5 linked regions of the Ovis aries genome follow. The protein of the gene in region 4 binds, or shares a complex with, the protein of the main gene of each other region. Links are inferred from orthologs where the notes say so. Each region holds a gene or a part of one and is shown on either strand. Other genes may lie near its edges.

Region 1 (3,630 bases), on a different chromosome or scaffold from region 4:
TCCAGTAGTCATGTATGGATGTGAGAGTTGGACTGTGAAGAAGGCTGAGCGCTGAAGAATTGTTGCATTTGAACTGTGGTTTTGGAGAAGACTCTTGAGAGTCCCTTGGACTGCAAGGAGATCCAACCAGTCCATTCTGAAGGAGATCAGCCCTGGGATTTCTTTGGAAGGAATGATGCTAAAGCTTAAACTCCAGTCCTTTGGCCAGCTGATGCGAAGAGCTGATTCATTGGAAAAGACTTTGATTCTGGGAGGGATTGGGGGCAGGAGGAGAAGGGGACGACAGAGGATGAGATGGCTGGATGGCATCACTGACTCGATGGACATGAGTCTGAGTGAACTCCGGAATTTGGTGATGGACAGGGAGGCCTGGCATGCTGCGATTCTTGGGGTCTCAAAGGGTTGGACATGACTTAGCGACTGAATGAACTGAGCTGAACTGATGCTGAAGCTTCAATAATCTGCCTACCTGATGTGAAGAGCCAACTCTTTGGAGAAGACTCTAATGCTGAGAAAGATTGAAGGCCGGAGGAGAAAAAGGTGACAGAGGATGAAATGGTTGGATAGCATCACTTACTCAATGGAGATGAGTTGAACAAGCTCTGGGAGATAGTGAAGTACAGGGAACCCTGTTGTCCTGCAGTCTACGTGGTTGCAAAGAGTCAGACATGACTTAGCGACTGAATAACAATAACAACAATGTAGTATTTGGTTACTATTGACCTTCTGATGACACCTCAAAAGGAGGCATATCCACTTTATGTGATCCCAGATCACTGAGACATGATGATGTGGATGGCTGGATATCTAGAGCAGACAATGTCAATCACTAAGGATCCTCAGAGGGATGAAGCAGGACAGCAAAAGATTTCATCACATTCCTTGGAATGGCAAAGAATTTAAATGTGAATTGTTTGTTTCTGGAATTCTCGTTTGATATTTTCAGACTGTGGTTGACCACAGGTAAGTGAAACTCTGGAAATAAAAACTGTGGATAAGAGGAAACAACTGTATATAAAATATGATATATATTGCAGTATATTGCAGTTCCTTGGACTGCAAGGATATCTCACCTGTCAATCCTAAAGGAATATTCACTGGATAGACTGATGCTGATGCTGAAACTCCAATGCTTTGGCCACCTGATGCAAAGAGCCGACTCATTGGAAAAGATCCTGATGCTGAGAAAGATTGAAGGTGGGAGGAGAAGAGGATGACAGAGGATGAGATGGCTGGATGGCATCACTGACACAATGGACATGAGTTTGAGTAGGCTCCTGGAGTTGGTGATGGACAGGGAATCCTGGCATACTGAAGTCCATGGGGTCGCAAAAAGTCAGACACGACTGAATGACTGAACTGAGCTGATATTGCAGTAAAAACGGATGAATACAAGAATATTTTCTTTATCAAAGATAAAAAGCATGATCGATATGCTAGGAACTGTTTCCTAAGTTATTTCCTATATTAACATGTTTAACTGATATATAAAAATACAGTGAAATATTGAAGTATTATTACCTCCATTTTGCATAATGAATTATTATTAGCTCCATTATTACCTCCACTGGGTATAGAGAATGTGTATAAAAACCTAATTTAAAAAAAAAAAAGCGATGTTGCTTCCGAACATCCTGCTCACCGGTACACCAGGGGTTGAAAAAACTACATTAGGCAAAGAACTTGCATCAAGATCAGGACTGAAATACGTTAATGTGGGTGATTTAGCTCGAGAAGTTTGATCACCGGATATCATGGAGTCTGGCAAGATGGCTTCTCCCAAGAGCATGCCGAAAGATGCACAGATGATGGCACAAATCCTGAAGGATATGGGGATTACAGAATATGAACCAAGAGTTATAAATCAGATGTTGGAGTTTGCCTTCCGATATGTAACCACAATTCTAGATGATGCCAAAATTTATTCAAGTCATGCTAAGAAAGCTACTGTTGACGCAGATGATGTGCGGTTGGCAATCCAGTGTCGTGCTGACCAGTCTTTCACCTCTCCTCCACCAAGAGATTTTTTATTAGATATTGCAAGGCAAAGAAATCAAACCCCTTTGCCATTGATCAAGCCATACTCAGGTCCTAGATTGCCACCTGATAGGTATTGCTTGACTGCTCCAAATTATAGACTGAAGTCTTTACAAAAAAAGGCATCTACTTCTGCAGGAAGAATAACGGTTCCACGGTTAAGCGTTGGTTCAGTTACTAGCAGACCAAGTACTCCCACGCTTGGCACACCAACCCCACAAGCCATGTCTGTTTCAACTAAAGTAGGGACTCCAGTGTCCCTCACAGGGCAAAGGTTCACAGTACAGATGCCCACTTCACAGTCCCCAGCTGTAAAAGCATCAATTCCTGCAACATCAGCTGTTCAGAATGTTCTAATTAATCCGTCATTAATTGGGTCCAAAAATATTCTTATTACCACTAACATGGTCTCATCACAAAATACTGCCAATGAAACATCAAACACATTGAAAAGGAAACATGATGACGATGATGACGACGACGATGACTATGATAACTTGTAATCTAGCCTTGACGCATGTAACTTGTATACTTGGTTTTGAATCTGTTGTACTGAGATTAAACATGCATGCTGGATATTTCCATGTTGTGTTCTAGAAAGAATAGTATTTAATGAGTAAATATGCTTACCATACTTTTTGATTGAGCTGTTGTGTTAGATTTTCTTTGATAGGATTAGTAATGGTTTCTCGTCACCCTTTAAGTGTAAAAAATAAAGTTGCAATTCGTGCATTTAAAAAAAAAAAAAGCAAATCCAGAAGACTGCATATAGAAGACTGCATACAGAATGCTACCTTATTTTACTAAAACTAAAAATCAAACAATGCTCAAGATTATGTTATTTAGGAATATATATGCAAGAAAAAATTTTCCAAGAATGGGTGTATTATATGGTTAAAAATTAAGAGAGTAATTATCTCCAGGAGATTAGCAGACCTACAGATGGGTGATAGCTTTGAAAGTATTAGCAATGGTCTAGCTCTTATGACTTTCCCGGCGGCTCAGAGAGTAAAGCGTCTGCCTACAAAGTGGGAGACCTGGGTTCAATCCCTGGGTTGGGAAGACATCCTGGAGAAGGAAATGGCAACCAACTCCAGTATTCTTGCCTGGAAAATCCCATGGATGGAGGAACCTGGTAGGCTACAGTCTACAGGGTTGCAAAGAGTTGGACACGACTGAGTGACATTTACTAATATTACTTTAGCTCTTATGACAGGTGGTAGATTCATAGTTGATGATTACAAGATGATGCTTCATAACTTTTATAGGCATTATATATAGTTTTACTTATACCAAAATTATACTTTAAGAAGTTTAGCACCTGCATTTTGTGATATTTAGATTAACTGTTCAGGGGCTATTTTTCTTATTTCCTGGTTTCCAGCTACAGTGCTTAAGAGATAGGATTACTAGGTAGCTGACTTCTAGAGCAGCAAACAAAATTATAACTTTTTTTTCTTTTCAGTCTGGGTAGTCATTCTAAACATAAATCAGTTTCAAAATAATGCTTATAAAAGAATAAATGGTCCCACTAAATGCAAAAAACAATTTGACCACTGAGAAATATGTTAACAGCTTTCTCAAATCAATATG
Region 2 (4,549 bases), on a different chromosome or scaffold from region 4:
AGTGAAGAACTAAAGAGCCTCTTGATAAAAGTGAAAGAGGAGAGTGAAAAAGTTGGCTTAAAGCTCAACATTCAGAAAACTAAGATCATGGCATCCGGTCCCATCACTTCATGGCAAATAGATGTGGAAACAGTGGCTGACTTTGTTTTTGGGGGCCCCAAAATCACTGCAGATGGTGATTGCAGCCATGAAATTAAAAGACGCTTACTCCTTGGAAGGAAAGTTATGACCAACCTAGACAGCATATTAAAAAGCAGAGCCATAACTTTGTGAACAAAGGTTCGTCTAGTCAAAGCTATGGTTTTTCCAGTAGTCGTGTATGGATGTGAGAGTTGGACTATAAAGAAAGCTGAGCGCCAAAGAATTGATAATTTTGAACTGTGGTGTTGGAGAAGACTCTTGAGAGTCCCGTGGACTGTAAGGAGATCCAATCAGTCCATCCTTAGGGAGATCTGGCTGTTCATTGGAAGGACTGATGTTGAAGCTGAAACTCCAATACTTTGGCCCCCTGATGTGAAGGGCTGACTCATTTGGAAAGACCCTGATGCTGCGAAAGATTGAGGGCAGGAGAAGAGTACGACAGAGGATGAGATGGCTGGATGGCATCACCGACTCAGTGGACATGAGTTTGGGTAAACTCCGGGAGTTAGTGATGGACAGGGAGGCCTGGCGTGCTCTGGCTCATGGGGTCGCAAAGAGTCGGACACGACTGAGCGACTGAACTGAACTGGACTGCAGCCCGCCAGGCTCCTTTGTCCTTGGGATTTCCCAGGCAGGAATACTGTAGTGGTTTGCCATTTCCTTCTCCAAGGGATCTTCCCTACACAGAGATCGGACCCAGGTCTTCCACTGAAAGCAGATTCTTTACCATCTGAGTCACCAGGGAAGCCCTGGCAATAAATCATAGTGGAACTCTAAGTTGTTCAAATTGTTTAAATTCACCCCTGTCTAGCCCCTCAATGATCCAAAGCTTCACAGGACCGAATCAGGAAGCGGAGATCTGATACGCAGAAGAAAGCTCAAGGTGACAACGAGATACACGCCATCTAGCTCATCCCTTTTCTATGCTAATGTTTAATTCCTACTTTCCAAGACTTTATCCTTCGCTGTTCAGGTTTCACCGCTGGGCGGGAGGTGCTTGTTCCTCTTCCACAGGGGAGGTTCCGCTAGGCCCCGCCCCGGCCCCTCTCGTCACCGGAAATGAGGCAGCGGAAGTAGTAAAAAGCTCTCCGAGGAAGGCGGGCGCGCAGTGGAGGCGGCTGGCTGGTGGGATGGCAGATGAAGAAGAGGATCCCACCGTGAGTGACCGCCTCTGTTCCAACCTACTTTTTAATTTACTACCTCGAGCACAGTAGCGGAAGCATAGTGGAGAATTGGGTTTCTTTACCTCAGTGATTCTGCCGAGAGAATCGGGGACTTCTCCCCGGGCTAGCCTTTTTCTTCTGATTCATCCTTTTAGTAAGCGGGGCTGGAGGAGTAGGTGGCTCCCCGCCCTTTACCTTTGGTTCATATTTGCCAGATACCCTTTGAATCACCTAGAGAATCATCAGGGGGCAAAGCTAGTGTTTGTTAGGGCTCATTATGCAACAACAATTCAAGTGCTAAGAAAACTGTACACTTTACTGTAAAGTAGTGGAAAAATAATGGACTCAAGTCACTGAGCAAGTAATTGAGCCTCAGTTTTCATGTCATAAAATAGGCTTAAGGTTTACTTGAGGAAAGTTCTTAGCACTGTGTAGGAAATGCTTAACAAATACTAGTTTTGCTTGCTTTCATTCAATATCAACTCTTTTAATAGTAAAACTATCTAGAAATAGGCCAACTTAGTTTAAAAAAAGAATGTATGGTCGTTGGAACTCCCCCAGGAGAAGCAGTACGATGCCTAACGGGGCATTGTAGAAGCCACTCCTGCGTGAGTCTGAAGTTGGGCGAGATAGTTTTAATGCCCCCAAAATGCTAAAGTTTCATTGTTTTTTGCTGCTTGCTTTAGGCTTTCTGGCATGATACTGGTGTTGAAGATGTAAAAAAAAAAAAAGCTAATTATTAAAATGTCAGAAGCAGTGTTTGACATATCTATACGTTTTAACTTTCAGTTTGAGGAAGAAAATGAAGAAATTGGAGGAGGTGCAGAAGGTGGACAGGGTAAAAGAAAGAGACTTTTTTCTAAAGAATGTAAGTAGTACTTGAGAATGATTTTTTAATAGTTTCCTTGTAGGGACACTATTCTCAGACTTCCGTATAAATTCTGTTTAACCTGTGATTCATAGATAGTAATGATCCTAACCCCAATTTATATATTTAACCCCAATTTATATATTTATATATATGTGTGTATATATGGGCTCACACAGACATACGTTTTTAAATTTTTTAAGTAAATACATGTGATCAGTGTTTCAATTCAGGTCCCAAGTAAGAACGTACCTCCGTTACTTTACCTGTTCCTTACCTTTCATCAGTTGGAGCAGGGACTCCTTTGAATGTAAGCCGAAGGTTCTGTTGGACCCTGAACAGGTCTGAGGGTAGGAATTAAGTTGGGACTTTGAACTAAGGCAATGGACAAGGCAGGAAGATGGTGAACAATGTGAGGCAGTCCAGTGACATGGAGATCATAAAGTTTTGGGTCTATTCTCCTCCTTCAGTAGACGGGTTTGACCTTTTATGGCAGTGGCAAGAGGAGCTGATTCTATTACTGATGATTCAGGCCAGCCCCTGAAAGGCACCATGAGAACATGCTCTCCATCTTCCAGTCCTGGTCCTTTATACATAGTTATGGCTGAGTGTAGATCAGGCAACACATGGAACACTTGGTTTACTTATGCCAGTTCCGACATAAGCAGTTCCTAAATGCTCTTGAAACTACAGAGTCAAGTAGTTTGGTTTTTTAAGCCATTCAAATCCTTTCCTATATCTCAATTTCTCACCTAAAGTTGACTGCTCATTATTCCATTTCTGATGTTATTTACTCCATTCGTATATGGTTTTACGTCTTATGGAGACTTCCCTGTAGCTCAAACAGTGAAGAATCTGCCTGCGAGGCAAGAGACCAGGGTTCGATCCCTTGGTTGGGAAGTTCCTCTTGAGGAGGGAATGGCACTCCACTCCAGTATTCTTCCCTGGAGAATTCCATGGACAGAGAAGCCTGGCGGGCTACAGTCCTTGAGGTCGCAAAGAGTCGACACGACTGAGTGACTAACACAGTTACTTCTTAGGTAGGCATAAGAGGATTACTGCACCAGAGCATCGCATAGTGATGCTAGCATACTTCTTACCAGAGCCTTTGTTCCACTTGGATTTCTTTATTTTTATGATGACAAGAATTCGGAATCTTCACAGCTGTTTCTTTGTCTTACCTGAATTTTCATGTATCTTGACCAAGATCTGTTCTTCTAGACATTCTTTGTTTTAAAAATATTTTTTGCTAATATAACACAAGATTTCAAAGCATTCACTTCTCTATTTGTTTGTCTTTACAGACTCTTTAACCAAATACGGTTTACATACTTCCTATCTAATAAGTTTTTCCTTTTCCAGTGAAGTATGTTTCCCTACTGATGAATTCTCCCCATCACAATGTTAATGACAGTATTTTCCTCAAAATATTTAAGAGAAAATATTAAATTTATAGTGGAGAATCCAGTCCTGGCAGACATTACTTTAGTCAGGTGATCAAAGTTAGTATCACCAGTAATATATGTTGACATTAGGTACTCCTAATATGGTGCATTAAGGGGTCCATCATCACTCTGATTCCCTTCTAGTAATGCATAAGCACAACCTAATCATGAGGACACATCAGATAAACCGAAGCTGAAGGACACGCTACAAGATAACTGACCAGTATTCTTCAGAAGTGTCAAGGTTGTAAAAGACAAGGAAAGTTTGAGGAACTGTTACAGAACAGAGGAAACTAAGGAGACACGACAACTAGTGTGGGATCCTGGAACAGAAAAAGTACAGTAGTGGGAAAACTGGTGCAATCTGAGAAGTGCTGTACTTGTACCAGTGTTAGTTTCTTAGTTTTGATAAATGTCTTTGGTTGTGTAAGATGTTAACATAAGGGGAAACTGGATATAGGGATTCTGGAACTCCATGCTATTTTTGCAGCCCTTTAAATCTGAAATGACCTTAAAAAGATTTTTTTTCCAGAGTCCCAAAAAAAAGAGAAGGGAGAAAATATTGCCTCTTGTGTTTGTTTTCTCCCTCCTGTATCTGAACCTAAAGATTCTTGCCAGGATAAACCCTCCAGGGCACTTCTCTATCCCAGACTGGCTTCTGGGTCATCCCTTTCTTTTCTCCTTTTTTTTCTTCCATGGGCCTGGTCTGCTTTCTTAGTTCTGCCTGCTTTTGCTTCTCCTAAGTAGGAATTACTCTTTTTTTTTTTTTTTTTTTTTAGGAATTATTCTTAATGTACTCCTTCCTACTTTTAGAAGTGTTCTAGGAGTCTCTTCCTTTTTTTTTTCGCTTTCTTTTGTTGTTTATATATTTGCTGGCTCTTTGTTGCTGCACACTGGATCTTTAGGGGCAGCATGTGGGATCTAGTTCCCTG
Region 3 (4,635 bases), on a different chromosome or scaffold from region 4:
ATACATGTGTACAAATAGGGGATAAAAGAGTTGGGATAGTTCTGCCCGATGGCAGTCCAAGGAACATTCAATGAAGTGTTTCAGTCCGCTATAGTATTCTTCATACATCGTGGGGTCTCCCTGTTGGCTGTAGGCTGAGAGCACGGCACTGACATCTGGCTGGTCTTCCACAGCTACACTTCCAACTGTTTAAAAAATGAAAAATAACTTCAAGAAAATGACCTGACAAGCACCAAAAGACTAAGGCTGTTTTGTTAAGGTCCAGAGGAGAACTGTTTCACAGATGTTTGTCCCTCTCCTCTCAAACACTCTTCCCCGACACAATCACAAAATCTTTTAATGGGATTCAGTTTGTTTCAGTTACCCATCCAACACTTCCTTGGTTTGTCCACATCTTAAAATAAAAATTTTCAGATCAACAGCAAAAAGATTCAGCATTTTTCCTAGAGCTTCACTATTTTAAAAACAAATTTTATAAAACATGGTATGTGCAAATCAAACAACGGTATTACTCTTCTCTCAAGGCTCAGTGCAAATGGCACTCACCACCACAAAGCCATGCCCTGGAGTAACATTCCCAGCCCTCTGAGCTACCTGAGTATTTTATAACTTTTCAGCAACATATCTTATCCTGTGTTACCTTCACGTATGTCCATCTATCACTCCCTATAAAATACAACCATGTTAATGGTGGGAAGAACTTGCCTTTTATATTTCCAAAAGATAAATCTATTTTATATGCTTAAAACAATTTCCATAACCACCATTTCAAGGCAAAAAGCATGAGTATTTATTTGTAATATTTCAATACCAAACAACGATACATCTGTCAATCAAATGAGGGTTTGTGGGAAATTTTTTTTAAGTTGTGATTACAGTACTGTTATGCTCTTTACTGCACAAATTTTCAGTTTTTTTGGTTACTATGATGGCCTCTTTTCCTTTCTATTGGTTTCTCAGTTACAATCTGAAGGTCAAGTTTCTAAAGAGATGAGAGATTATAGCAAAATAATCAACCACATAATTCATCCATCTTATAGTTCATTCCCAAATTCAGATTCAAAAAAGATTCCTCTCAATCACATTTGCACACAGTTCTACTTATGGGTTACAGCGCTTATTCATACCTCACTCCTGGAAATGCTGCCAAGATTAGGTCTCATAAACACAGGTTAATTTGGCAAGAGGCTCTACAATGGGTAATTTAATTCAATAAACATTTTTTACTGGCTCAGGATCACCTTTGAAACTTTATGTTGTATATGACTTTTACTGCATGGACTTTTTGACAACAGTTGCTGAAGGAAAAGGGGAGCGGGAGCCTCAGGTGTCAGGGATAGGTACTTGGCATAAACTTGTCAGTGCCAGACATTTTACATATATATGAATCTCACAATAACCCGTTTAATAGAAGGAAAAAAACTCTCAAGCTTAGGAAGAGTAACAATCAGCATCACACAAGTAAAAGCAACAGAGACAGAAACTGAAGTCCAATACCTGTTCCTAAATGAATGGGTCTCAAACCTTGCCATAGATCAACATCTCTTGGAAGCATTTTTTTTTTTTAATCCTTAGAATATTTATTTATTTTTGGCTGCGTTGGATCTTACTAGCGGCTCCGAGGATTTTTCCTTGCCGCATGCGGGCTCAGTAGTTGCAGAGCGCGGGCCTAGTTGCCCCACGCTTGAGAGATCTTAGTTCCCTACCACGTTCCCACATGCCCTACGTTGGAAGGCAGATTCTTTTTTTTTTTTAGTTTTTATTTTTTAAATTTTAAAATCTTTAATTCTTACATGCGTTCCCTAACCACTGGACCACCAGGGAAGTCCCTGAAGCATTTATTTGAAAATGCAGATTCCCAAACTCCACCTTCACAGGATCTGATTCACTACGTCTGAAGTGATGCCCAGGAATCTGCATTTCTCTAAAAGATTTGATACCAATGGTATTTAGCCTATATTTTGAGAAAGACTGGCTTCACTATGTACCACCACTCTCTGGCTGTGCGGTCCAAAGCAAATACCTTGGCCTTTCTCGGTCTGGTTTCTCATCTCTAAAATAGAAGTACTGTCTACCTCACAGTGGAACTGTGAAAATTAAGATAAACAACACAAAATATTTATAGTAAAAGTACGCTAGTACAAATAATGTTGCTGCATCCCTGCCCAAAGCTCAAGAGCCCAAATAAGAACCAAAAGCCTGGAAGTTCCCGCCTCTCCGCGCCCACCGTCCCCATACATCCTTCGGCTCAATAGCTCTCCACAGCCTCTCGCTGGAACTGACAGCTCGGAAGAGGGTTTGACTGCGCAGCCGGCGCACTAGGGAAAGGGGCGGGCATGTGGCCCTAGAGGCGGGCCCAGGAAATTCAAAACAAGCCCGCAGAGGTGCAGGCCTGCCAGCCTCTGCCTTCCCGGCTCACTCCCCGCCGTGCCGGTCCTGCCTACCCCGGACCCAGCGGCTCACCTTTACCCGGAGCCACAGAACCTGTCGCTAAGCCCGAGACGGCGGCGGACCCCGAAGCGCCGCTGACTGGAGGATCCGGGGCCGAAGGGCCGGGCGCCGAGGCGGTGACCCGGCTAAGAAGCGCGCTGGCTGTCTCAGCGCCGGCGCTGTCTGCCTCTCCCGGGGCTCCGGAGCCCGCCACTGCCTCCTCCAGCAGCCGGGCCTCACGGCGCAGCGCTTCTTCGGCCTCGCGGAGGTTGCTCTGCCGTAGAAACTGCAGCACGGCGAGCAGAGTCTGTCGGTCGTGGGGAGCGCTGGCCTCCGGAGCAGCGGCGGGCACCGGGGCCGCCCCCGCCGGTGCAACGGCGGAGACAGCCACCGAGGGTTTGGGGGTCCCACCATCCCCGCCGGCCGACGACGCCGCCGCAACGTTCCCGCCGCCGCCGTTGGGGCCGCTGTTGGTTGTGCCGCCGCCACCTTCGCCAGCGCCGTCCCCCGCCTGCGGAGGTAGCAGCGTCGGCGGTCCCTCAGGCTCTAACTTCACCGCCACCTCCGTCTGCTCCTCTGCCAGCGCCGCCATCTTGCGGCTGAGCCACCTCGCGCCGTCAAGCGTGATTGCGTTTTCGCCATATGGAGGGCGGGGAGGAGCGTTTTACGACATCTCTGGAGGGCAATTTACGGCAGTAGGAGGGGCGATAAAGAAGGAGAAAAAGGAATCGCAGCAAGAGCAACTTTCAAAAGTGAGTGGCAAAAAGGCAGGAAGTGGGACGTCGGGGCAGCCTCTTGCATTTGCCGGATAATAGTTACATTTATTACAGACCAGCTATTTTTCAGGCACTGCGATGGACGTTTTACATTATGTGACCTTTTATTCAGCAGTCATATAAAGTACCATTATTCTCACGATACAGATGACTGAATCAAGACCTAAAGACATTTTTTAAATGCCAAAGTCACACAGGAGGAAAGCGTCAAGATTCAAAACCAGGTCTTTATCTTAAAAGCATATATCATTTACCAGAAGGAGGCTTCTGAGTTACTGGTAATGTTTATATTTTTTTCTGGATGGCGGTTACTTTTCTTTTTCCCATTTATGCCTTATAAAAATTAATTGGGCTGCAAGCTCACGTTTTGTGAACTTTACGCATATATGTTATATTTCAATAAAAAGTTTTTAAGAACCTGAATTTTGTGATTGTGAAATGTGTATATGCTGTATTCGTGCTATGTTAACCATTATTACAAGCAGGCCGCATTTTAGTTGTATATTTTAAAACAGTATGTGCCATTTTGCAACATGCTTCATAGGTTTAAAAGCACTGCTGCATGTTTGAGGACTTACGTTGTGGCTCAGACGGTAAAGAATCTGCGCTGCATATTTGGTCTCCTTTGACTCTCACAACGGTATGAGATAGGTGCAGACAAGAAAAGTGAACTTGGGACATGGGGAAGATCGAGTTATGTGAGGATTAAATAAGATAGAGTCCGTGTGGTCGCAAAGAGTCGGACACCACTGGGCAACTGAACTGAACTAAACACATAATAAATAACTATTGGTTATTTTTACTGAACCTTAAGCGGTGTTCTGCAAATGTTTCCTAAGAAAGTCTAATCATGACATACATGGTGATCTCAAGACTGAAATATAAAACTAGTGGAATTTGACATAATGTAAGATTATGAAACATGGGTAGGGGCAAGGGCAGAGAGGGGGGAGGAGATGAGCATTTAAGTTGTTCAGTTTCTTGCTTTACTAGCAGTTGCACCTTCCTCTGCATCTCATTACTTTTCTCTATGAATTTGTATTTCCCGGAAGGTATCAGCTACCTTGTCTACCCAGAAGGAGAGGCTAAAGCCTAGCATTGGTAAAAGGTGAAGGATGCACCCAAAACAGGAAAACCTGTGATGTGTTGGCCCCATCACTCCCTGTTTATCAACATACATGCACACATGCACACACACATATCCTCAGAGGTTTCACAGTTTTTACTGATCTATCAATTTCAGTGCCATCTCTAGGGTTGAGTGTGATGGGAGAGGTAGCCACTGGTGTGAGTTTACAATCTTGTTCAGTTCCTAAGTTTAAATTCACAAAGCTAAGAGTGAATTTAGAGTTTGCCTCCTAAGGTAGGTAATTGCAAAACTGACCTGCACTACTCCAGGAGCAACTTAATAGTGTGGTTATTGACTACT
Region 4 (4,685 bases):
TGAGTAGGTGAGTCAATACAGCCTGGCTTCCTATAGGCTGAATCTAGCTTAAATGTGGGATTAGTTTGGCTTGCAAATATATTCCCAGGACTTCCCTGGTGGCATGTACAGTGAATAAGAATTTGCCTGCCAATGCAGGGGACAGGGGTTTGATCCCTGGTTCAGGAAGATTCCAGGTGCCAAAAAGCAACTGAGCCCATGAGCACAACTACTGAGCCCACTCTCTGGAGTCCGAGAGTCACAACTACTGAAGCCTAGAGCCTGTGCTCTGCACCAAGAGGAGCCGCCTCAACGAGAAGCCCACACACCACAATCAAGACCCAGCTCAGCCAAATAAATAGAATAAAAATTTTTTTAATGTATCTCAATAGTTAAAAATATTGATCGAGCTACTGATCACAAAACCCCGATTTCCTGCAGCTCCCTAAGATCTGGTAGCCCTTACCTGGAGTGGGGAATCTAGAGCAGGCAACAGATCTTCATACACCCAGCTGGATTTAAGGACTTTGACCTCCGTAGGCAACTGAGTCCTCTCTTCCTTTGCCAGATCCTAGACGCTGGTGAGAAGGCAAAGGAACCCCACTTCAATACTCTTGCCTGGAAAATCCCATGGACGGAGGAGCCTGGTGGGCTGCAGTCCACGGGGTCGCGAGGAGTCGGACACGACTGAGCGACTTCCCTTCACTTTTCACTTTCATGCATTGGAGAAGGAAATGGCAACCCACTCCAGTGTTCTTGCCTGGAGAATCCCAGGGATGGGGGAGCCTGGTGGGCTGCCGTCTATGAGGTCGCATAGAATCGGACACGACTGAAGCGACTTAGCAGCAGCAGCAGCAGCAGCAGCAGCAGCAGACGCTGGTGAAGGGAACACTGGCAAACTCTTGCCCACCAGCATGCCACCCGTTTCGGTAAATAAAATTTTATCGGAACCAGGGCTGCGATTTGAAAGAGGTGCCCCGAGACAGGAAAGGGGCAGGGTAGTAGCTCGGATTTTTAAATAATTGTGTTAAAATACTAGTAATTTTCATTGTTTTCTGCTGTCCCCTTAAATTGTGGTGGTCAGCGCCAAACAGGCCACATCTTACACCCTGCCCTACTGTGAAGGGTTTCGAATGACATGATTAACCGCTTGGACCTGATTTAATCTATACAATGGTAAACAGATCTTTTTTTTTTTTTTTTTTTAGCAGAGGCGTGATTAGATTCGCGACTGTACGTTTCCACGCCCCTAAATCCCACTCTTACATTTACAGCCTCTCGGGTTCTCACTTCTCTCTAACACCCACATCCTGGCTCCTTCTTCGGGCCCTGAACCATTGACGGTGCCCTCCCCAGTCCCCTCCGAGAGAGTACCCCAGGAGGCCCCAGGAACCTGCCTCCTCTGGCGCATCCCTCACCTGCGCCCCGCGCCGCCGTTTCCTGCATCCTTCCAGGCCCGAGAGTCAAACCGGGACCATCGCTCTGCTACAACGGGGCGGAGCTTCCGCATCGGCCCGCTCCTCACTCGGCTAGTGCTGCCTCGCCCCGGCGACCATCCAGCGGGAGGCGGAGCAAGTCCAAAATGGCGGCTCTCAGGCTGGCGCGCTCCGTGCTGCTGAGGCTTTGAGGTGGTCGCCGGGGGTCGGAGGGGGACGATTTCCCCGCCGCGGAGGCCTTGGAGAATGAATCGGGGGCCCTGCTAAGGCTAGGCGGCGGAGGTGGAGAGAAGTGGCGGCACGGACTGCGGTGGAGTCCACGGAGCGGGATGTGCGAGAGTTACTCCAGGTCGTTGTTGAGGGTCTCGGTGGCGCAGATCTGCCAGGCGCTGGGCTGGGACTCGGTGCAACTGAGCGCCTGCCACCTTCTCACGGACGTGCTGCAACGCTACCTGCAGCAGCTGGGACGGGGCTGCCACCGGTACTCGGAGCTGTGTGAGTACGGGGCTGGGGACGGGAGGCTGCCTGGCCGGTCACGAGTGACACCTCCGCGCTCCCCTGTGCTCTCCCGGCGTCCGGGAGGTGTTGGTCCTTCGCCCTCACCCCGCGATCGGGTGTCTTCTCGCCCCCTGACGCTCCTCCGCTCCCACTGCCCGTGGAAACTCGAGTCATCCCTCTGCTGCCTCTTCGCCAGCCGCTAACTTATCCCGCGTGCAGCAGGAGCCGGGTCCCCGCTCCCAGCTCCACACCCTCTGCCCTCCTCTCTGATCTGGACATCGGCCTTAATCATCGTCTCCTTTGGCAGCGTGCAGAACCCCCTCCAGAACGCCTTACAGCCTCTGTTAGTTTGGTCCTTTCCCTCCCCTTGCCCGCAAACTACTACAACTAGTTGTCACAGGCGCTCCGTCTACCGGCCGTTTCTTACAAGCCTGGCCGTTCTTCAGCTCCTGACAACACAGACTCGTTGACAGCTCTGCTCCGTTAGGGACACTGCCTCTTCTTTCTGTTTCTGTTCGTTTCACGGGCAGCATCTCTACCAACTTGGTCAGTTTCACTTATGTTCACTTTCATTTACGTCTCAATTGATTTCCTCCTCGTCTGTATTTTTATGTCAGTGGTTATCAGAGTGTGGTAGAGAGATCATAGGCAGTTTACAAGCTTCCCCAGGTAGTCTGGGCTACAGCAGATGGTTTTTAAGTGAATATCTGGTAGTACCTGTTCTTTAGTGGCTAAGTCATGTCTGACTCTTTAGTGACTCCCTGGGCTGGATCCCACCAAACTCCCGTGTCCATGCGGTTTCCCAGGCAAGAAGACTGAAGTGGATTGCCTTTTCCTCCTCCAGGGGGTCTTCCCCAGCCCAGTGACCAAACTGGCAGTCTCCTGCCTTAGCTGGTGGATTCTTTACCACGGGACCACCAGGGAAGCCCCAGGAGTATCTATAGCTGGTGGCATTTACAAAATTGGAATCTTTAATAGGTGCAACACATCATCTCATTGATAAGAAGTTTGTGTGTGGAGAGGGAACTGACTGACCCTCACTGAAGTTTCAGGGCATTATTTTTGAGGTGGTAAGCTGGAGAACCGGGTGAAGTGTTTCATGCAACATTTTGTTTTGTTAAGGTGGTTACTCCACTGAAAAATTGACACCCTTAGATACACTTTACTTCTTAGGTCCCAATTTCCATACCAACTTCCATCGTCCTATCAGAATAACCTGTCAGTCACGCCATAACACAAACCTGACTGTGTCATTCTTAAAAATATTCCAGTTAGTTACAGGCTGGGAATCCGAGCTCTCTAGCAGCACGCGCTTGCCTTTGTGAGCTCACATTTTCTTACTTTCTGCTGGCCTATCATCCACGGATAGCATGACTTCTGTTTTGAGATTCACTTATCATTTTGCTTTAGGAAACTCATCATATCTCTTCTCATAATTCTGTGCATATTTCTGCCATGTTAACTGAACATCTTGTTTGTTTTTTAAATGTATTTATTTGGCTGTGCTGAGTCTTGGTGGCGGCACGCGGGATCTTGGGTCTTCATTGAGGCTTTTGGGACCTAGTTCCCTAATCAAGGATGGAACCTGGGCCCCCTGCATTAGGAGCTCGGAGTCTTAGTCACTGAACCACCAGGGAAGTCCCTGAATACCTTATTTTGTAATCATCTGTGTATATCTCTCACCCTCTCCTCTTCCCTCCCCAGGAGACAAATTTATTATATTGGTGTTCAGTAGCCTAGTACAGTGCCATAATAGAATAGGCAGCCAGGAGATACTTGTTGAATAACTGAACTGATAAGCCACTACCATAATAATTATTTAGTCCTTTGACTTTTTGAGTTTTAAAAATGTGTAGTTTTGGACCCCTTGATTTCACAGCTGTGTCAAATCTGAACTTGAAGCTGCCGAGTGGCTCTCACTGACTGTTGTCTTGCTCGCGTACCACCAGCACACTGCTCTTTGCTTTTGCTTCATTTTCCTCCCTCCTCCCTTCCTGGCCCTTGTGTGAGTTTACTGTTACGGTATGCATGGGCCTGGTTATATTTTTTGCTCCCAAATTCCCTGAATGACGATGGCTGTTCTGTACCTTTAGGTCAAAATATCTGCAGAATACATAGTTACCTTTCCTGACTCACAGAACCAGATGGGTGCTGGCACTGCAAGCAGCCAGGTATTCTAGAGTCATGGGGTGACCCTTGTTTTGCCTGCATGTGAACCTCGTGGATAATTGCCCAGTCTCTGTAATGATTATCTTACTTTTAGTTGAGAATAGGATGATCCGGTTCATTACTCCTCATTGTGATCTGGTGACTTTTCAAAAATGCTACTTCCTGGTATACTTAACCGGTTACAGACTTTTTAAGGTTCTTTTTTCTCCACTATTCTTATTTCAGACTGGAATTAAATCCCCACTATGCAATCTTGTCTTCTGTTTCTTCATTTCTTTTGTCTTTCTAACACAACGTGTTTTGAGCACCACTTATATATTTGCTACCTGATGGAGACGTAGGATTACTTAGGCAAAATCCCTGCCCATAAGGTGTGTACAAGGGTGTTGAAATGTCAGTAAAAACAGAATGATGGCATTTGTTCCTTTTTAAAAAGATGCTTTTTCAGTAAAGCAGGTATCAGAAGTTACTATTAATTCAACAAATATTACATTTAAAAGTTTCCCAAAGGTAACGATTTACCAAAGCACTCAGGAGCAGAAGTTTCCGTATGCGCTCTATTATACATTATGCTGAAAGCAGTGCACGGTATCAATAGTACCT
Region 5 (4,892 bases), on a different chromosome or scaffold from region 4:
GCTTCATCCAGCCCGGCATTTCACAGGATGTACTCTGCACATAAATTAAATAAGCAGGGTGACAACATACAGTCCTGACATACTCCTTTCTCTATTTGGAACCAGTTTGTTGTTCCATGTCCGGTTCTAACTGTTGCTTCTTGGCCTGCATACAGATTTCTCAGGAGGCAGGTAAGATGGTCTGCTATTCTTATCTCTTTCAGAATTTTCCACAGTTTGTTGTGATCCACACAGTCAAAGGCTTTGGCATAGTCAATAAAGTAGAAATAGATGTTTTTCTGGAACTTTCTTGCTTTTTCAATGATCCAGTGGATGTTGGGAATTTGATCTCTGGTTCCTTTGCCTTTTCTAAATCCAGCTTGAACATCTGGAAGTTCTCAGTTCAAGTACTGTTGAAGCCTGGCTTGGAGAATTTTGAGCATTACTTTGCTAGCATGTGAGATGAGTGCAATTGTGCAGTAGTTTGGACACTCTTTGGCATTGCCTTTCTTTGCGATTGGAATGAAAACTGACCTTTTCCAGTCCTGTGGCCACTGCTGAGTTTTCCAAATTTGCTGGCATGTTGAGTGCAGCACTTTCACAGCAGCATATTTTAGGACTTGAAATAGCTCAACTGGAATTCCATCACCTCCACTAGCTTTGTCCGTAGTGACGCTTCCTAAAACCCAGTTGACTTCACATTCCAGGATGCCTGGCTCTAGGTGAGTGATCACACCATTGTGGTTATCTGGGTCATAAAGAGCTTTTTTGTATAGTTCTTATGTGTATTCTTGCCATCTTTTCTTAATATCTTCTGCTTCTGTTAGGTCCATAGCACTTCTGTCCTTTATTATGCCCATCTTTGCATGAAATGTTCCTTTGGTATCTCTAATATCCTATGGTTCATTTAGGCATAATTGCAGGTTGTAATGCTTGTTAGCTTGCTTCCTTTGTGCTTCACATAATCAATGAGGTTGTGTGCTCCTTAAGGATAGGAAAGATTTTACAGAATTTTTGTATCCAAGACAGTACCTGAATAAATACAATACTTCTCTGTCCATAACCATCAAAGAAAACCCTTTCTTTTATGCTTTGTTTACAGTAAAGTATAGGAAAAGTTTTAATTAAAAAAAGTACTTTTCAAAAATCTTTTTCTGCTTCCAGAATTGCATGTATATATCAGGCAGTCCATTCTATATTAGTCAAAGGCTTGCTTGCTTTTTTTAATTAACATTTTTAAATTGTAAAATATGATATTCATATAAAGAAGTATGTAAACATGTATACAGATTAATAGATGGTATTAAATCAAGTAAGGGCAGTACATAAACCAAGAACTTCCGGATGTACAAGCTGGATTTAGAAAAGGCAGAGGTACCAGAAATCAAATTGCCAACATCCATTGGATCATAGAGAAAGCAAGGGAATTCCAGGAAAACATCTACTTCTGCTTCATTGACTTCACTAAAGCCTTTGACTGTGTGGATCACAACAAACAATGGAAAATTCTTAAAGAGATGGGAATACCAGACCAGTTTATCTATCACCTGAGAAACTTGTATGCAGGTCAAGAAGCAACAGAACCAGACATGGAACAATGGACGGGTTCAAAACTGGGAAAGGAGGACATCAAGGCCGTACACTGTCATCCTGCTTATTTAACTTATATGAAGAGTACATCATGCAAAATGTGTGGCTGGATGAACCTCAAGCTGGAATCAAGATTTCCTGGAGAAATATCAACAACCTCATATATGCAGATGATACCACTCTAATGGCAGAAAGCGAAAAGGAACTAAAGAGCCTCTTGATGAGGATGAAAGAGGAGAGTGAAACAGCTGGCTTAAAATTCAACATTCAGAAAATGAAGATCATGGCATCCGGTCCCATCACTTCATGGCAAATAGACGGGGAAACAGTGGAGACAGTGACAGATTTGATCTTGGGCTCCTAAATCACTGCAGCGACTGCAGCCATGAAATTCAAAGACGCTTGCTCCTTGGAAGGAAAGCTATGACCAACCGAGACAGTGTATTAAAAATCAGAGACATCACTTTGCTGGTAATGTCTGTATAGGCAAAGCTGTGATTTTTCCAGAGTTATGTACAGATGTGAGAGTTGGACCATAAAGAAGGCTGAGTGCCAAAGAATTGAACTGTGGTGTTGGAGGGACTCTTGAGAGTCCCTTGGACAGCAAGGAGATCAAACCAGTCAATCTTAAAGGAAATCAACCCTAAACATTAATTGGAAAGACTGAAGCTGAAGCTCCAATACTTTGGCCACTTGATGCAAAGAGCTGATTCATTAGAAAAGACCCTGACGCTAGAAAAGAATGAGGGCAGGAGAAGGAAGCCTGGAGGAGGGGGGCGGGGGGCAACAGAAGATGGGATGGTTGGATGTGATCAACACAATGGACATGGGTTTGAGCAAATTCTGGGAGATAGTGAAGGACAGGGAAACCTATCGGGCTGCAGTTTATGGGGTTGCAAAGAGTTAGACACGACTTAGCGACTGAGCAACAGCAACCAAGGGCTCCTCTGGTGGCTCGTTGGCCAAGAACCTGCCTGCCAGTACAAGAGACACGGGAGATGGGCGTTCGATCCCTGGGGGAGGAAGATCCCTTGGAGGAAATGTCAACCTGCTCCAGTAGTCTTGCCTGTAAATACCCCATGGACAGAGGAGCCTGATGGGCATAGTCCGTGTGGTCGCAGAGTCGGACACGCCTGATCTACTGAGCAGGCAAACATTAAATCAAGTAAAGAAACCCAGTATTGCTAGCACTACAACCTCCAACCCATCCCTAGCCAAGGAGGACCTTTCCCTCTAGCCAAAGTCAGTTAATTTGCTTGCTTTTGCACATCCACATCCCTCAGTTGCTTTATCCATTCTGCAGTTTATGGATATTTAGCTCATTTCCAGTTTGGGGCCATTAAGAACATCTTTATGAACATTCTTTCACGTCTTCTGGCCAGGGTACATACCTCGGCGTGAAACTGCTGGGTCATGATGTGTGTGTATTTTCAACTATGTCAAGTAATGCCAGTCCCTTTCCGAATTTACACTTCAATAGACTCTTCGAGTTTCCGTTGCTCCATAGTTTTTCCAATGTCTTTGTAAGCTCAGACTTTAAAATTTCTATCCATCACGAGTGATTTCGAATATTTGCCTGGAAAAGAAAGCCTGTACCTCACTGCCAGGTCTCTTCGTAGAGCAGGCAATAGCTACCGACTGGAAAGGGAGGGCTCTGGCCTCCAGGAGCAACGACTGGCGCGAGATAGAGCGGCCGGAGGCAGCGCCGCGGAAACCGGAAACGGCACAATTTCCGGTCGAGGCAGCCATCTTGCCGTGAGACAGCAGGAGAGCAGCCGCGGAATGTTGTCCTCCGTTGCCTCGTACTCGGGCGCGGGCCGAGACCTGGCCATGGAACCGCACAGCTCCGTGGGCCCTTTGCAGCTGCGCTTTTCGCCCTACGCTTTCAACGGAGGGTAAAACCCGCAGAGCCGCCGCTTTCTCTTTCTTCCTCCATATCCCTGCTTAAGTCTGTCTGCCCGGCGCTGCCCTTCCAGTCTCAGGCCTCCCTCTCCGAGGTTGCTCGGCTAGCTCTTGTTCTTCAGGGCTTCACCTTATAGGCGGGTCACTGGATCTTGATGTGGATGGCCAGCTTTACGTAGACAGCAGATAGAAATTGACACCTGACCTCCGCTCTGAAGAGCTTTAAAAATGGACCTGTCTGAATGTGCTTCTCTAGCCAGCAGGCACGGGGCAGGTTGAACATCTGAGATTAAAAGTTAGGGTTGATTGGCCATGTGATTAAATATAGCTGTCTAGCGAAAGTGAAGTCGCTCAGTCGTGTCCGACTCTGCGACCCCATGGGCTGTAGCCCACTAGGTTCCTCCGTCCATGGGATTCTCCAGGCAAGAATACTGGAGTGGGTTTCCATTTCCTTCTCCAGGGGAATCTTTCTGACCCAGGGATCGAACCCAGGTCTCCCGATTGCAGGCAGACGCTTTAACCTCTGAGCCATCAGGGAAGCCCTGTCTAGCTAATAGGTCTAATCAAATCACCATTTTGAGTTGTTTTAAATAGCAGGTAGGATTACTTGCACAGACTTAGTTTCATTGATCAGTGTTTAGTTTTAAGGGCTAGCGTAAGTTCAGGGGAAAAATACTCAGAAGGCGGACCTTTGAATGTGTGTATTCTTGCATGTTGTATGTGAGCTTTTCTTTCTTTTTAACTTACCCGCTTTATCTTAATACTTTTCCTTGACAGTGCACTGAAAGAACTAGGGTTGTGGAAAGGCACTCTCTTTAGGACTCTTCACTGCGAAGAGCTGTGTATTTAAGCATCGTTTATAGTTTGCCAGCCAAATTTTGTACTTTGAAACGTACACACCAAATTAATCTGGTAATCTTTAAGGACCATCCAAAGACCAGATTAATTACTCAGGTCTTATGGGTTTGAAATTTTAATGTAGATTTTTGGGGTATTTGCAAAGAAGGTGGAAGTGTGATTTTAGCCTTGTCTCTGACACTAAAGAGCAGTGTAGTGTTTGGTACCTACCTCTCAGCTCCTTGAACCCAGATTTCCTTATCTTCCTTAGCTACTCATAGTTTGAGAGAAGAATCAAAAGAGAAGCACTTTGTAGATTGAAAGCAGGTATCTTTTTAATCCTCATGATGACTGACTGTTAGATGATATATACCTCAATTTTACAAATGAACCTGGGCTCTTAGAAGTTTAATTTTGTTAGTCATAGCGCTGGTGTGAAGTTGAACCCCAGGACTTGAATCCATACCTGTGTTGCTATGAAGTTGATGAATGCTTTTATCATCGCACTTTTAAATATTTCCTGTGACAACTAATGAAGTGGTGGGATCACAAAATGAGTTATTAGACCCATTTCATGAGACAGT

What was found.
Region 1: TAF3 (region 4) and transcription initiation factor TFIID subunit 9-like share a complex: the UniProt entries of both Homo sapiens proteins name them as parts of the TFIID basal transcription factor complex. The link is inferred for Ovis aries from reciprocal best matches to the Homo sapiens genes TAF3 and TAF9.
Region 2: TAF3 (region 4) and TAF13 share a complex: the UniProt entries of both Homo sapiens proteins name them as parts of the TFIID basal transcription factor complex. The link is inferred for Ovis aries from reciprocal best matches to the Homo sapiens genes TAF3 and TAF13.
Region 3: TAF3 (region 4) and TAF5 share a complex: the UniProt entries of both Homo sapiens proteins name them as parts of the TFIID basal transcription factor complex. The link is inferred for Ovis aries from reciprocal best matches to the Homo sapiens genes TAF3 and TAF5.
Region 5: TAF3 (region 4) and TBP share a complex: the UniProt entries of both Homo sapiens proteins name them as parts of the TFIID basal transcription factor complex. The link is inferred for Ovis aries from reciprocal best matches to the Homo sapiens genes TAF3 and TBP.

What each region holds. Positions count from the first base shown.
Region 1 is NC_056065.1:58,198,522-58,202,151, forward strand, and holds transcription initiation factor TFIID subunit 9-like, read left to right. Parts: upstream 1-1,616; 5' UTR 1,617-1,754; coding exon 1,755-2,540; 3' UTR 2,541-2,671; downstream 2,672-3,630. UniProt on the Homo sapiens protein: The TFIID basal transcription factor complex plays a major role in the initiation of RNA polymerase II (Pol II)-dependent transcription.
Region 2 is NC_056054.1:86,377,313-86,381,861, reverse strand, and holds the start of TAF13 (transcription initiation factor TFIID subunit 13), read left to right. Parts: upstream 1-1,227; 5' UTR 1,228-1,271; coding exon 1,272-1,298; intron 1,299-2,093; coding exon 2,094-2,172; intron 2,173-4,549. UniProt on the Homo sapiens protein: The TFIID basal transcription factor complex plays a major role in the initiation of RNA polymerase II (Pol II)-dependent transcription.
Region 3 is NC_056075.1:23,656,954-23,661,588, reverse strand, and holds the start of TAF5 (transcription initiation factor TFIID subunit 5), read right to left. Parts: upstream 3,060-4,635; 5' UTR 3,023-3,059; coding exon 2,464-3,022; intron 186-2,463; coding exon 1-185. UniProt on the Homo sapiens protein: The TFIID basal transcription factor complex plays a major role in the initiation of RNA polymerase II (Pol II)-dependent transcription.
Region 4 is NC_056066.1:12,225,598-12,230,282, forward strand, and holds the start of TAF3 (transcription initiation factor TFIID subunit 3), read left to right. Parts: upstream 1-1,537; 5' UTR 1,538-1,744; coding exon 1,745-1,910; intron 1,911-4,685. UniProt on the Homo sapiens protein: The TFIID basal transcription factor complex plays a major role in the initiation of RNA polymerase II (Pol II)-dependent transcription.
Region 5 is NC_056061.1:91,733,144-91,738,035, reverse strand, and holds the start of TBP (TATA-box-binding protein), read right to left. Parts: upstream 3,210-4,892; 5' UTR 2,961-3,209; intron 1-2,960. Other genes in the region: PSMB1 (proteasome subunit beta type-1), read left to right, coding at 3,352-3,464. UniProt on the Homo sapiens protein: The TFIID basal transcription factor complex plays a major role in the initiation of RNA polymerase II (Pol II)-dependent transcription.